Linked DNA regions of Neurospora crassa OR74A. The protein of the gene in region 2 purifies or fractionates together with the protein of the main gene of each other region. This does not show direct contact. Links are inferred from orthologs where the notes say so. Each region holds a gene or a part of one and is shown on either strand. Other genes may lie near its edges.

Region 1 (4,345 bases), on a different chromosome or scaffold from region 2:
GGGCGATGACATTGTTCCGGAAGTCGAGGAGGGCTTCGTCAACGTGGAAAGCGCGGATGCCGGCGGTGCTGCAAGCAGTGAAGCGGATCTGTGGTCCCGGAACTCACCGCTCGCAGTTGATCACGTCGCTGGTGGTTCCTTTGAGTCGGCAATGCAGCTGCTCAACCGCCAGGTTGGCGCTGTCAACTTTGCTCCGCTCAAGCCTCGCTTCTTGGAGGTTTACCAGGCATCCAAGACTTATCTCCCCGCCGCGGCTAGCCTGGACCCTCTCGTCAACTACGTCCGCAGGAATCCCGAGGAGACGGATCCCAGGAAGGTTCTCCCTATCATCCCCAGGGACCTCGAGTACCTTGCTTCTAATGACCTGCAGCGCGGTTATGACGCGATGAGGGCGAACAAGCTCGAGGATGGTGTCAAGATCTTTAAGGGCATTCTGCACTCCGTCCTTGTCAACGCTGTAGGCAGTGATGGGGAGGTGGCTGAGGCCAAGAAGCTCATCGCTTCAGCCTGCGAGTACTCGGTTGCCATGTCCATTGAGCTGGCCCGCAGGCAACTCGGTTCTCCGGACCAGGTCAACAGCGATCCCTCGCTCCAGAAGCGGAGCTTGGAACTGTCGGCCTACTTCACCATTCCCAAGATCGAGGTTCCCCATCGCCAGCTTGCCTTGCTTAACGCAATGAACCTGGCTGTGCGGAGCAAGAACTACAGCTCTGCCCTTAGCTTCGCTAACAGGATATTGGCCAACGGAGGAGCCACCAAGATCACCGAGAGTGTAAGTGATAACCTACATAACCTTATCCTTTTGCTCCTTTGGTAGAGACACTGACATATTTGAAAATAACAGGCCAAGAGAACCAAGGCGCAATGCGAGCGCAACCCCCATGACGCCGTGGAGATCGAGTTCGATCAGTTTGCCGAGTTTGAGATCTGCGCTGCCAGCTTCACGCCCATCTACAGCGGTACCCCTTACGAGGAGTGCGCATTTGACGGAGCCAAGTACCACACCAAGTACAAGGGCACGGTGTGCACAGTCTGCGAGGTTTGCGAGGTCGGAAAGCACGGTAGTGGCCTGAAGCTGTTTGCTTAAAAGGGGTGGGTTTGTATGCGGTTGGCGCTACACGATGATGGGGGTTTTGATGACAAGTAAAGTAGTAGTTAAAGTACAGTCAAAGTAGGTATAATGATCGCGTTTCTTGCTTTCTTCTGCAGGAAGAACAGGGGAGAAGAGAAAAGGAAAGACAAAACCATTTTGGACGCGCCTGTTGCATAACAATTACTGCCTGCTACCAAGTAAGTTCGTGTGCTATAATCCGAACAGAAAGTCGTGGTCGCATGAATTGTCAGTTAGATAATACCATGCCAGACGCAAGCCGTAATATTATGTATCATGTTTTTGTATACATATAGGCGACACATGGAACACAATGTTAAGTAGTGTATCTGTACGTGGCCTCTGTTCTGCCTATGTAGCTAGATCTCTAAGGACCATCGTTTAAGAACGCTTGCATAAACCAACCCAACCCAACCCATACCACACCGGCCAGCCACTTTGTTGTTTTTCTACTGTTTAGACGATCGTCTCCAACTCCCTAGCATAGCCCAGCGTATTCTCAATGATCAACCGGCTGAAGGGCTTCTCCTGCTCGGCACCGGCCTCCTCCGTCGTCGGCTCAGCAGACGGGAAGTAGATGTGGCCGTCCTTGAGTACCCAGCCGCGGGAGCGGGCGAACTCGACCACTTCGCCCTCGGACTCGAGGAAGAGGAGCGACTTGGTGGAGGAGATGGGAAGCGAGGGGTAGGCGCGCTCGGAGGAGGAGGCGATTTCGGAGCGGATTTGGAAAGTGAGGATCTGTTGACAGTAAGATGCGGTGGTTAGTGATTGATGTGGTACAGATAGTTAATCGTGATATCGTTGCTTGGGGGAGAGCGAGAGAGAAGGACCTAGGGGGAAAAGGTAGAGAAAGCAAGACGCAATAAAAGAAAACCCACGAACCTCGGAAAAAACTCCATACTCCTCACAAGGAACCTCGCCCTTCTTCATTGCCTTCCACACACGATCATAGCTCCCCTCCATCAGCCACCTCTCCAGCTTGATGGGATACCCGAGATATCTATCCGCCTCCAGCTCGCGCGTCGCGCCACCCAGCCTCGTGCTCAGCGCCTCCAGCTCGCTATGGAACTCGGCATACTGTCCCTGCGTCAACAGCAGCAGCAGATACAAGCCCGTGACCTTGTTCTTCTCCTCCCTGTTTGCGTCCGCACCGGCAATCCTGCCACCAGCGGCACCGGTACCGACAGTACTCTCGAGCTCGTAGAACCCTTGGAGCTGGCTGACGTAGCGCAAAAAGGCGTCGGGGTTCTTGGCGCGGATCGAGGCCAGGGCACCTTGCTCGTAGACTTGGCGGGCGAGAGAGAAGAGGGAGGGGTTGGAAGCGGAGCCGGGCGCGGTCGGGGTCAGCGCGTTGAGTTGGAGGAGCAAGAGCTTGGCTTTGGAGAGGAGGGCGGAGGAGTCGGTGTAGGAGAGGGAGGAGGCGGAGGTCTGGAGTTGGGTGAGGATTTGGGTGAGTTGTCGTTCTGCCATGTTGGGCGGTTGTGGTGTCTGGTTGTGGTGTTGTGGTGGTGATAATCTGGGGTTGCCGCACGTCGAGGTTCGTTTGTTGTTTTAGCTTCTAGGTGGTTGTTGAAGCTATCGCGGGCGGCAAGTGGATGTGATGGTTGGGTAAATGCGTCGCGTATGTGTATTCTGATTCCGAGTGGATATTGTTGTGGTACTAAATAGACCGGCGATGGTTTATGGCTTGTCGACGGGATTTTGTTGATAGTTATGGCTTGTCATGGGAAACGAGGCAGTGGATGTAGGTACGTAGTTTGGTGTCGAGGCTGAAGGTTGGATGCTCGCTGTCTTGGGGGCGTCACGTTCCCACCGCCAAACGCCAGACCCTCGTATCCACCGCCAAACGCCAGACCCTCTTTGCACCCCCATCATCTGGCTAGCTGTCGAGTCGCTGGCGAGCCTGGTAGATAGTCAAAATCAATTAATTCTATTAACAACGAAGCTATTTATACTTGTGCGCCCGTAATTACCTGCTGTAATTTATTATATTTTGTACTACTACTAAGAAGACCGACCCCCGGGTTGCCGCTACCGCCGCCGCCGTCGTAGCGTTCGGTAGGAAGTATTATATTAGTTAGGCGGTGGATATTGACCGGGATTGTAAAGCTGTTAACGATTTATAACTTCTATTATCCTCTCTTATAAGGAAGAACCCTCTATAGTAATGTAAAAAGAGTTATAAAGTAGCGGACTTTAAGTCCGAGCTGGAGGAAGTAAGGCTTCCTACTGTTAATTCGAAGGGTAAAAGTAAGGCTATTACCCCCTCCGTCGAACCTATTCCTACTCTAAAGAAGGTTATTCTTAAGATTGTAAAGAAGGTTGCCCTTGTTGTTCCTACTTCTAAGCTAACTTCTAAGGCTGCTCTTATCCTAAAGAAGCTGCCTTCTAAGAAGAATATTGTTGCGCCTAAGCTGTTTAGCTCCTGTAAGATTATATTAAAGACCCTAACGCCGACTTCGAAATATAGTCTAAGGATTATTCTATTTAAGTTTAAGCGCCCTCCCTTAAAGACGATTAAAATTTTTAATATTTATTTTAGGATTAGTTTGGATGATGGATAAGGGTAGGAGGATGAGTAAGAGTAAGAGTTTGTAGAGGATAATAATAAGGAGGATGAGTAAGAATAAGAATTTATAGAGGATAATAATAAGGAAGATAAAGAGGAGGATAAAGAGGAGGATAAGGAGGAGGATAAAAAGGAGGGGGATAATATAGGGGATTTATTTATAAATATAATAATTAATATAATTAAAAATAATAAGGATAAAGAGATACGAATATCTTCCGTTTACCGGCCTACATTAGTATAGAAGGTAAAGCGGTTATTCTACTAAGATTGTCTATTTTTATTTTTATTGCTTATTAATTCGTTTATTAAAGTGTCTAATATTCTATTTCGGGCAACCCCTATAGTCCCTTTTATTATAAAATTATTTTTAGTAACAGTACCCGCTATTACGAAGCTACTTCGGGTAGTAATAGTAATTGTAAGAAAATCTTAAATAATTTATATAATCTCCGCTATTATTGAGCCCCCTCCTTAAAAAATATTTGCCGGTCCTAATTTAAATTCGTCCTTAAATTATTCTTATAATAACTTTATTCTTATTAATATTATAATAATCGCGAGCGTTATATATATTATTAGATTACTTAAAATTAAGCCGCTTCTATTTGCGAATTGAATTACTATAATTAATATTAATATTATATAGAATAAGTATAATTATA
Region 2 (4,133 bases):
AGACCTTGTGCGATACGGACCATGAACAAAGACTCCTGATCTCTGTGATAGTAGCTAGCCAGCTGACGGAGCAGCTGGGCAAGTCTAGCGTTGTTCGTACCGGCACCCAGGAGACCCATAGCAAAAATGGCGTTGATGGCCACTTCATTGTCATTGTCGTGGCTGTACCGTGACAGAGTGTCGTAAACCTTCATTTGAGGGTTGCTGGGGCTGATAAGACCCATAGCCAGCGGCACCGCTCGTCGGATGTTAGCTTCGCCGTAGTGCATAAGGTGACCAAAATGGCGGAGAACCATTTCCTGTCCAACATCTTCGCCCATGGCAATCAAGCCAATACCCAGAACGGCATAGGCCTGAAGCAACTCCTCGCCCTTCTTCTCCTCTCCATCCTCAATGTGCTCGTTGCAAATGTGAAGGAGCTCCTGAATCTTGAGGACGGCACCGGTGCCAGCCCAGGCGCAAATCTCAGCAAGAACAGCAGTTGGCTTCGCCATAGGGTGCTCAACCGCCTTCAACGTCTCAAGAATAACGTCCACCTGTTCCTGGCGACCAAAATAGAGGAGACCCAAGCCAAGCGCAAGGAACCTGGACCATTTGTCATTGAGGCGGCTTCCACTTTCTTCGTCCAACAAGGTAGTCACGATGGCCTCGCTGACTTCGGAATTGGAGGAGCCGACAAAGATCATACCGCAGGCCAGGGCAGCCATAGCCGACACCTGCATGCTCTCCTCAGGGTCGCTGATAATGTTGACCAAGAACGAGAGAAGCTCCTCCTTGCAGGACCCTGCGTATGCCAGTCCGAGACCCATAATGGTAGCTACGCGGATGAGCGGGTTCTTGTGCGCAAGCTTGTCGGGATCAGCCAACAGGGCCATCGCGGGCTCGGAGTCCGTCCTAACGTTAGTATTCATGATACCGATCGCGAGGTATGCGCCAGCTTGGATTTGCTCCTCCTCGAGATAAGTATACTTGTCGACGTGGTCAAGACCGTTCTCGACGTCCCAAAGGAGCAGGGTTCCCAGCGACGCCACTGTAGACATCATACCCTCATCCTTGGTCTTCCACACCCAGCTGTCCTTGTCTTTACCAACGAGCATCATCTTGTCACTCCCAAAGCCGGCATTGACAAAAGCGTTGACGAAGCCGGCGGCAAGATTGTGTCGGGCAGAATCAAAGTTGGTCATACCAGCAACACGGCTGCTTTCGAGGTGGCTCTTGTAAATATCCTCAGTCGTTTTTGGCTCCAAGATGTTGAGTTCCTTCCCGAGCGACTTGAAATACTCCGACAGCTTCTGGTTGGAAAGGCACTCGTAGATCTTTTCGTCGTCATCATTGCTCCTTTCAAACTCCAATGGAATGCCCTGGCGCGCGATAAGGAAAGCGAGCTGCTTGCGAAGCGCAGGATCCTCGTCCGCCGCCTCGAAATCTTTCTCGATGAGTCCAAGATCGTTGAGTCTAATCGCAAGCACCATGGCTTGGGTGTGCTGGTTGTATTTCTTGTAGATGCTGTGCGCCACGCGAAGGAACGTCTCGTTGTCAGGATAGGTTAGGAGGTTGACCATGGAGACCATGTACAGGCAGACTCTCGAATAGGTGTTCTCGTCGAGAAACTTGGGAAGCTCCTCGATGATCTCGAGCTCACTCATCAGATCGACGGCATCGGCTTCAGCGTTGCTCTTGAGGAAGAGCGGCACCAGAACCAGGGCAAGATCGACCAGCTCTTGAGTCGGCTCATCATTGGCTATGCGCTTGGCGTAGACCTCGCCAATCTCGAGGGCGAGATGGCGAACGTACTCATGACCCCACGAGCCAATGTCCTGTGTTGGGGAAAGAAGTCTGTATTTCAGAGTATCCTGGCGGTCCTCGTCCGAGTATGTCATACCGATCACCGATAGAACATCTGCGAGAGATGACTTATCATCGCCAGCGGGCCACTCGTCGTAGAGTTTCGTCATGGTTTCATAATGCGGGCGCAGGAACTTGAGCGGCTTCGGTACCGCCGTCATGGAGGATGTGGATGTCTTGATAGAGTTCTTCATGGCCTCGAGGGCCGGCTTGTAGAGGGTCGCATCGGATTCCTGAAGACATTGTACTGTTAGAGAAGCCGGTCTTCAGCCTGTATCACGTCATTGCGAAGCACCAACCGTTAGCCGCTCAACGAGCATCTCAAGCTCGCTCTTGAGCTGCTGATCCTCTTCACTGAGTTCCTCGGAAGCTAACGCAAAGCGCTGTCAGCAGAAGCCCGGCGCCGATACCTCAAGTCGGTCGGAGTGGCCGAGAAACCCACCATTCTGTTCCTCCTCCTTCTTTCCGTTTGCGGGGGTCTTTCCATCGACATCTTGGTGCTTCTTCTCGTCATCGACGGCCTTTCCCTTGCCCTTATCGGCCGTCTTGGACAGGTCGCTTTCTTGCGCCATGATTACTGGCCGTGATGGTTGTAGGTGGGAGGATTCGCGGAGCCGATGGGTCCAGTTGGAGGGGAAACCAAGGTCGGTTGGGCTGGCCGGGGTAGGTGGACGCGGCGGTGGCGTTCGCTGCTGCAAGAAATGTTCAAGTTTTGTCACCGAGTTTGCTTGAGCGACAGGAACTTGAGCTCCAGTCGTGAGCAGAATGTCAAAATCAAAAGTGGATGAGCTGGCTGCGGTTGTTTGGAGGTTGTTATGTTGTTCAGGTGACGGTTTTGGAGGTTGGAGCTTTTGCAGGTTCGCCCAGAAGCACCTCAGTTGCTGAAAGCCAGCAAAGGTCAGTGGCAGTTACGGTACTAACGCCAGGGAGCTCCGATGGTGGTTACGCGACTCGCTTGCCGCCTGAAGCTCCCCCGTCTGGCTGAGAACGCCCCTGCGATCCAATGCTGCCCGCCTCAAGTGGGTCTGGAAGCCTCGGTGGGGACGAGGCGTCATCAGAGCCTGGAAGATACAAATTCCGCTCCCCCCAAGCTTCTGATAAGATAAGCTACTGGCCTGGACCTGGCGCTTGACCGGGCAGGCACAGCTCAGCGAATGGAGCCCACGGCCAGCCCTATCTTATCGGGAAGATGTTATCGCAACCGTGCATTTGGAATTTGGGGGACGCCCACTTTCCATTCTGGACATCAGCTTTGCGCTTCACCCACCTTGACTTTGACTTTGACGAGAGCGTCGTAGACAGCAACCTAATAGCTCTCTTGGATCAATACAACATCAGAAAATCTCTCACAGCAATTAGGCCGACAATCACCTGAGGGGAAAAAACAAAAAACATCCAAAAAGAAACACACAATCATGTTTTTGGACACCAGAGTTTTACGCCATCTCACGGCAGAAGACTGGAGAGTCTTGACTGCCGTTGAGATGGGCAGCAAGAACCACGAGCTCGTCCCGACCCCTCTGATCGAGAGAATTGCCCGTCTCAAGGGCGGTGCCAGTGGTGTTCACAAGAGCATAGCGACCCTTGCCAAGTCTGGCCTCATCGGACGCATGAAGGAGGCCAAGTACGACGGCTACCGACTGACCTACGGCGGTCTTGACTATCTGGCCCTACACACCCACTCCTCGAAAGATGTCGTCTACAGCGTTGGCAGTCGTGTGGGTGTTGGCAAGGAATCCGACATCATGATCGTAGCCGACAAGACCGGCAAGCAGAAGATTCTCAAGATCCATCGCCTAGGCCGCATTTCCTTCCGTACCGTCAAGTCCAACCGCGACTACTTGCGCAACCGGCAAGGCGGCTCATGGATGTATCTCTCGCGGCTTGCGGCCATGAAGGAATATGCCTTCATGCAGGCTCTCCAAGAAGAAGGCTTTCCCGTTCCCGAACCGATTTCCCAGTCCCGACACACTATCGTCATGAGCCTGGTCGAGTCCCTACCACTTAGACAGGTCTCCTCGGTTCCAGACCCCGCGAGCCTCTACGCTGAGCTTATCGACCTCATCCTTCGATTGGCCAAGCACGGGCTCATCCATGGTGATTTCAACGAGTTCAACATTTTGATCAAAGAGGAGCGGACCACCAAGTACACGATCGAGGACGGCGAGGAGAAGGAGACGGAGACGGTAACCCTTGTCCCAGTCATTATCGACTTCCCACAAATGGTGTCTATGGACCACGTAAACGCCGAGATGTACTTTGACCGCGATGTCGAATGCATCAAGAGG
Region 3 (4,317 bases), on a different chromosome or scaffold from region 2:
CCATCTCCAACATTCCTCTGCTCGACGAGCCACCTATCCAGATACACAAACCCGCACCCGGGCCCGGGTCCAAACCTCAACCCAAAGCCGCCGATGTACCACCAGCAACAGAAGAAACAGAAACGACAATCAGGAGGAAACAACTACTCCAGATCCTCAAAGAGGAAGGTGACGAAGGGAAGAAAGAAGAAGAAGAAGATGAAGATGATGATGATGATGACGTAACCATCAGGAACAAGAAGAACATGAACAAGATAAAGATTCCTGCTGGAGGTCAAGCGAATCCCCTTAAGCTGGTACCGCCTGAATACCGACATTTGATCATCACCCTACATGTCCTCTTTCCGGGGGTGGTGTTGCCAGGGTTGGAGGTTTTGGAGCGGGGGTTGGTTGAACGGGTCATTTTGAGGAGGTGTGCTGCTGGGGAGGGGGTAGCGGCAGCGCTAGTGAAAGAGAAGAAGAAGAAGGAGGAGGAGGAGGAGGAGGAAGAGGAGGAAGGGAGGCAGAAGGAGCAGATGAAAGAAGAGAATATGAATATGGATGTGGATGTGGTCATGGAAGAAGGGGACGACGACAACAAGAAGAACGACGACGACGACGACGACGACGACGACGACGACGACGACGGGGATGTAACAAGTCCGCCGCCGGCGGCTGAGGATGAGACCAAGGATGGTGGAAAGGCTAAAAAGAAAAACCACCACCACAAGTCACTACTGGTGGAGGAGGAGTCCACGACAGAAGCAAAAGTCGAACATCATCCCCGGCCACGGCCACCTCCAGAGTTCTATCTGGTACGCTCTTCCCAGTTCCTCAACGTCCACCCGAAGCGGAAACGAAAGTATCCAAGTAGCAATCTCTCCGGGCTGTATGGAGACGCAGCAGACACCGAGGGTATCCCATCAGGTGGTGGCGGCGGCGAAGCAGACCGAGAGCGAGACTACCGAATACAGCGGTACATGGTTAGCCTGGAGGCATGGAACTGTACCTGCGCTGCGTTTGCGTTTGCGTGTGTCTCGGAGGCAGAAGCAGGAGATGATGCAAAAGAAACAGGAGGAGAAGAGCTACAAGAAAAGAGAGAAAGAGACAACAAAGGAAGTGCAGGCTGGACCTTTGGCGGGATGACCCTCTTCAATGTCGGAGATCACTCGAGCGTACCGCCCGTTTGCAAACACCTGCTGGCCTGTCTGTTGGCTGATAAGTGGACGAGGGCGTTGGGGAGGTATGTGACAGAGCGGATGGTGAGTAGAGAGGAAATGGCCGGCATTGTTGCTGATGTATAGTAAGTCTAGAGTAGAGGGTCTGTGATAGACAGGTAGTTTTTCTGTTACTGGCGAACCGCAGTCAACAAACCAACTTGTTAGTAAAATAGTATTATTAACAATCGCCCAAGATCCCATCCTTGACCTTGAGCAGCCCTCTTTCTATGTGTGAAAGTGTCTCTCTTATGTTTGATTCCGTACACAAACGTGATTCATGCTGATTTGATTGATTTCGTATCATCTACGGCCGGGTCCGTTGCGCCCCGTCATCCACCCCGTTGCTCGCCTTCCTGTTCCCTCTTTCACTTCGTCACGTCTCGCTTATTTCTTCTTCTCTTTCGGACTGTTCTCCTTCTCCTTGCTTTCACCATTTGCCGCCGCCGGGCTACCCTCCTTCTTGTCGGCGCCCTCCTTTTTCTCGCCGTTTTCTCCCTCCTTCTTCTTGGCGTCGTTCTCCTCCTGCTGCTGCCTGTTCTGGATCTTGTTCTCGATCAGGTCGTGGAACGCAGTGATGGCGCGGATCAGACTGCTGAGGTAGATGGCCATGAGCTGGTCGTTGGTCTTGATGCTCATGGCGTGGTTGAGCTCGCTGTCGGCGTTGGTTCCAGTAGCGCCTGGACCGGACTTGGGCGTCGAGAGGTTGGGGAGCAAGTTGAAGACGTCCTGGAGGTTGCCGAGGATGGCGTGGTTTACGGGCAGCTGGCCGTCAAGGACCTTTTGGAGATATGCTTGGATGTCGCGGAGGCGGTGGTGGAGGCCTTGCAGCGAGCGCATCTGGTTGGTGATGCGAGTGGATAGTGTGCCGACGGCTACGTCACGGATGTCGCGAAGGAGGTGCTCGACGCCGATTTCCTCGGCCTCTTCGGCCTCGATGATGGAGGGAGTGTGGACAAAAGTCTTGGATGTAGTGGTGCCGTCCTGTGGTAGTCACACACAAGTATAGTTAGCAGCTGTAACTTGGACGAGGCTGAGTAGGAACAAGTGGAAACGCGACGGCGTTTCTAAAAGACATACATCCTTGATCTCGTCAACGGCAAAATAGGCATCTGTAGGAACGCCCGTCTCCTTGGGCTGGACATCGACAATAACCAGAAGCGGGTTGGGAGTGTAGCGCTTGAACAGCTCGTTGATGTCGAGATCGGAAGCCCGTAGCTTGGGGCCGGAATGGTACCAGCCTATTAGCTTCTCGCGCGCATTGACCTTCTTGAACATGTCGTTCATGGACTCGACGTAGTTGTGGTCAAGGAACCAGACTGAGGGGTCCTTGTCGTCCTCCTCGAAGGGAACTGCATCACCAGAGTTAGCCGAATATTCACCTGGGCGCGGGGCAACCAGGCAAGCTTCCGCAGCAGAGACTACGCACCCGCGAAACTGTTGGACACGCGAACATTCTTTCCATCATTCTGGCCTAATAGCACGCCGACGACACGCTTGCTCTTGGACTTGTTGGCTTGGGTACGGTTGTAGTGGTCGACAACTGAGAGCAGAACCAGCGGCGCAACCGAGACGCTGCGGTTCACCAGGGAGAGCGTTTCCGCAGTAGTGGCGGGCATGGCGAGAGCTGGATTCGAGGCGTCGTCGTCGTCGTTGTCGTCGTCGTCGTCGGAGGCGTGATGGCTGGTGTGTTTGGTGGGCGTGGCGGGAGGTCGGGTGGTATTTCGTGGGGTAGAAGAAGGAAGGCGGGCTGGAGGGTATGATGGATGTTTTGGTCGTCGATGTACGTATAGCAAGCAAGTATCCCGCGTCAGTTGTTAGTGGCCTCGAAGCTCCAACTGCTGTAGTTGCAGTGGTCTGGTCTCGCCGTCGTCACTGGCTAGCTGCCTCACTTGCTGGAAGGTGAGTACCCAATCAGGTTAGCGCCTAGTACCTTCCACTTGAACTTGAGTTGGGCGGTGGGGCCTCAGCCTTCTGTCCTGTGCCACTGCCGCGGTGACATAACAAAGGGCTTATCTAATCAGTAGCCGGTACGAATACTAGAGGTACTAGGTACGCAGTCTGTACCCTCCGCCTGAACTTACAGGGGCTTTTATAGCGACCTTCCTCCTGAGGAAGTTGAGACCGCAGAAAGGGGGGTCTCTTTATGCGCTGGAAGACTCCTTGGCGCGTGTCATGACACCCTTTTGGTCGTTGCGCCTCTGACAGAGACCTAGGATCGGCATAAAGTCGAGGGATCCTCCCGCCTTTTAATTCGAACGAACCCATCCGTACACCTATCCATCCGTCGTCTGCCCAACAACGTGACGCCATACTTTATACTTACCTCTACCCGTCCGGCCCAACATAACCTCAAAGAAAGAAAAATAACCAAAATCTATCTCAAACATGAAGTTCTCCGGTCTCATTCTCGGCGCCCTTGCCCTCGTCTCCGGCGCCATTGCCGTTGACATCCAGAAGTCGGTCATCATCACCTACAAGGAGAACACTCCCGACTCGGTGATTCAGCAGGACAAGAAGGCCATTCTCGATGACGGTGGCGTCATTACCCACGAGTACACCCTTATGAAGTATGCTTTCGGACACCGTCATGTTGGTTCGGGTGTTCTTGCTAACCCTTTTATCCAGGGGCTTCTCTGCCAAGGTTAACGCAAAGACACTCGAGTCGGTTTCCGCCTCCAGCGAGAGCTATGCCACTATCGAGGAGGACAAGGTCGTCAGCACGTTGTAAGCGGCCAGCTGATTGTTTGGCGACACCTGGGACGAGCGCAGACAACAAAAGAAAATTAACCATTCGAGTCTACACAGCGACATCTGAGGTACGACGGTGTCAGAGAGAAAGAGAGACCGAAAGAGAGTGTGTTGGAAATGATACCCAGGTGCAACTGTACTGGGCAAAGTTGTTGCCTTTTACCGACTGTAAGTCATGGTCTTGGCGTTTTTGGAAATGGATTGATGGAGATGGACTGTCATGATATCAACATCTGACGGACGGGCTCAATGTCCCAACGTTTGGCAAGCATCTTTACGTTCAATAGATTATGTGTTTATCAACATCATGGTCATGAAGCGTCGAGGTTTGGGTCTCAGGAACTCAAGAACCTGGTACTGTCATCATACG

What was found. The genes of interacting proteins can lie anywhere in the genome.
Region 1: the proteins of rpn-1 (region 2) and rpn-12 purify together in Saccharomyces cerevisiae (affinity purification with mass spectrometry; 6 studies listed by BioGRID, with this or other methods). This does not show direct contact. The link is inferred for Neurospora crassa OR74A from reciprocal best matches to the Saccharomyces cerevisiae genes RPN1 and RPN12.
Region 3: the proteins of rpn-1 (region 2) and rpn-8 purify together in Saccharomyces cerevisiae (affinity purification with mass spectrometry; 6 studies listed by BioGRID, with this or other methods). This does not show direct contact. The link is inferred for Neurospora crassa OR74A from reciprocal best matches to the Saccharomyces cerevisiae genes RPN1 and RPN8.

The regions. Positions count from the first base shown.
Region 1 is NC_026507.1:2,809,622-2,813,966, reverse strand, and holds rpn-12 (26S proteasome non-ATPase regulatory subunit 8), read right to left. Parts: upstream 2,937-4,345; 5' UTR 2,582-2,936; coding exon 1,994-2,581; intron 1,850-1,993; coding exon 1,568-1,849; 3' UTR 1,253-1,567; downstream 1-1,252. Other genes in the region: NCU10066 (coatomer alpha subunit), read left to right, coding at 1-772, 845-1,087. UniProt on the Saccharomyces cerevisiae protein: Acts as a regulatory subunit of the 26S proteasome which is involved in the ATP-dependent degradation of ubiquitinated proteins. Necessary for activation of the CDC28 kinase.
Region 2 is NC_026504.1:2,086,568-2,090,700, reverse strand, and holds the start of rpn-1 (26S proteasome regulatory subunit rpn1), read right to left. Parts: upstream 2,801-4,133; 5' UTR 2,418-2,800; coding exon 2,288-2,417; intron 2,216-2,287; coding exon 2,145-2,215; intron 2,079-2,144; coding exon 1-2,078. Other genes in the region: rbg-40 (serine/threonine-protein kinase RIO2), read left to right, coding at 3,261-4,133.
Region 3 is NC_026502.1:3,116,809-3,121,125, reverse strand, and holds rpn-8 (26S proteasome regulatory subunit rpn-8), read right to left. Parts: upstream 3,085-4,317; 5' UTR 2,816-3,084; coding exon 2,626-2,815; intron 2,549-2,625; coding exon 2,277-2,548; intron 2,181-2,276; coding exon 1,584-2,180; 3' UTR 1,284-1,583; downstream 1-1,283. Other genes in the region: NCU16568 (hypothetical protein), read left to right, coding at 1-1,283; NCU01548 (hypothetical protein), read left to right, coding at 3,585-3,766, 3,825-3,923, 4,005-4,014. UniProt on the Saccharomyces cerevisiae protein: Acts as a regulatory subunit of the 26S proteasome which is involved in the ATP-dependent degradation of ubiquitinated proteins.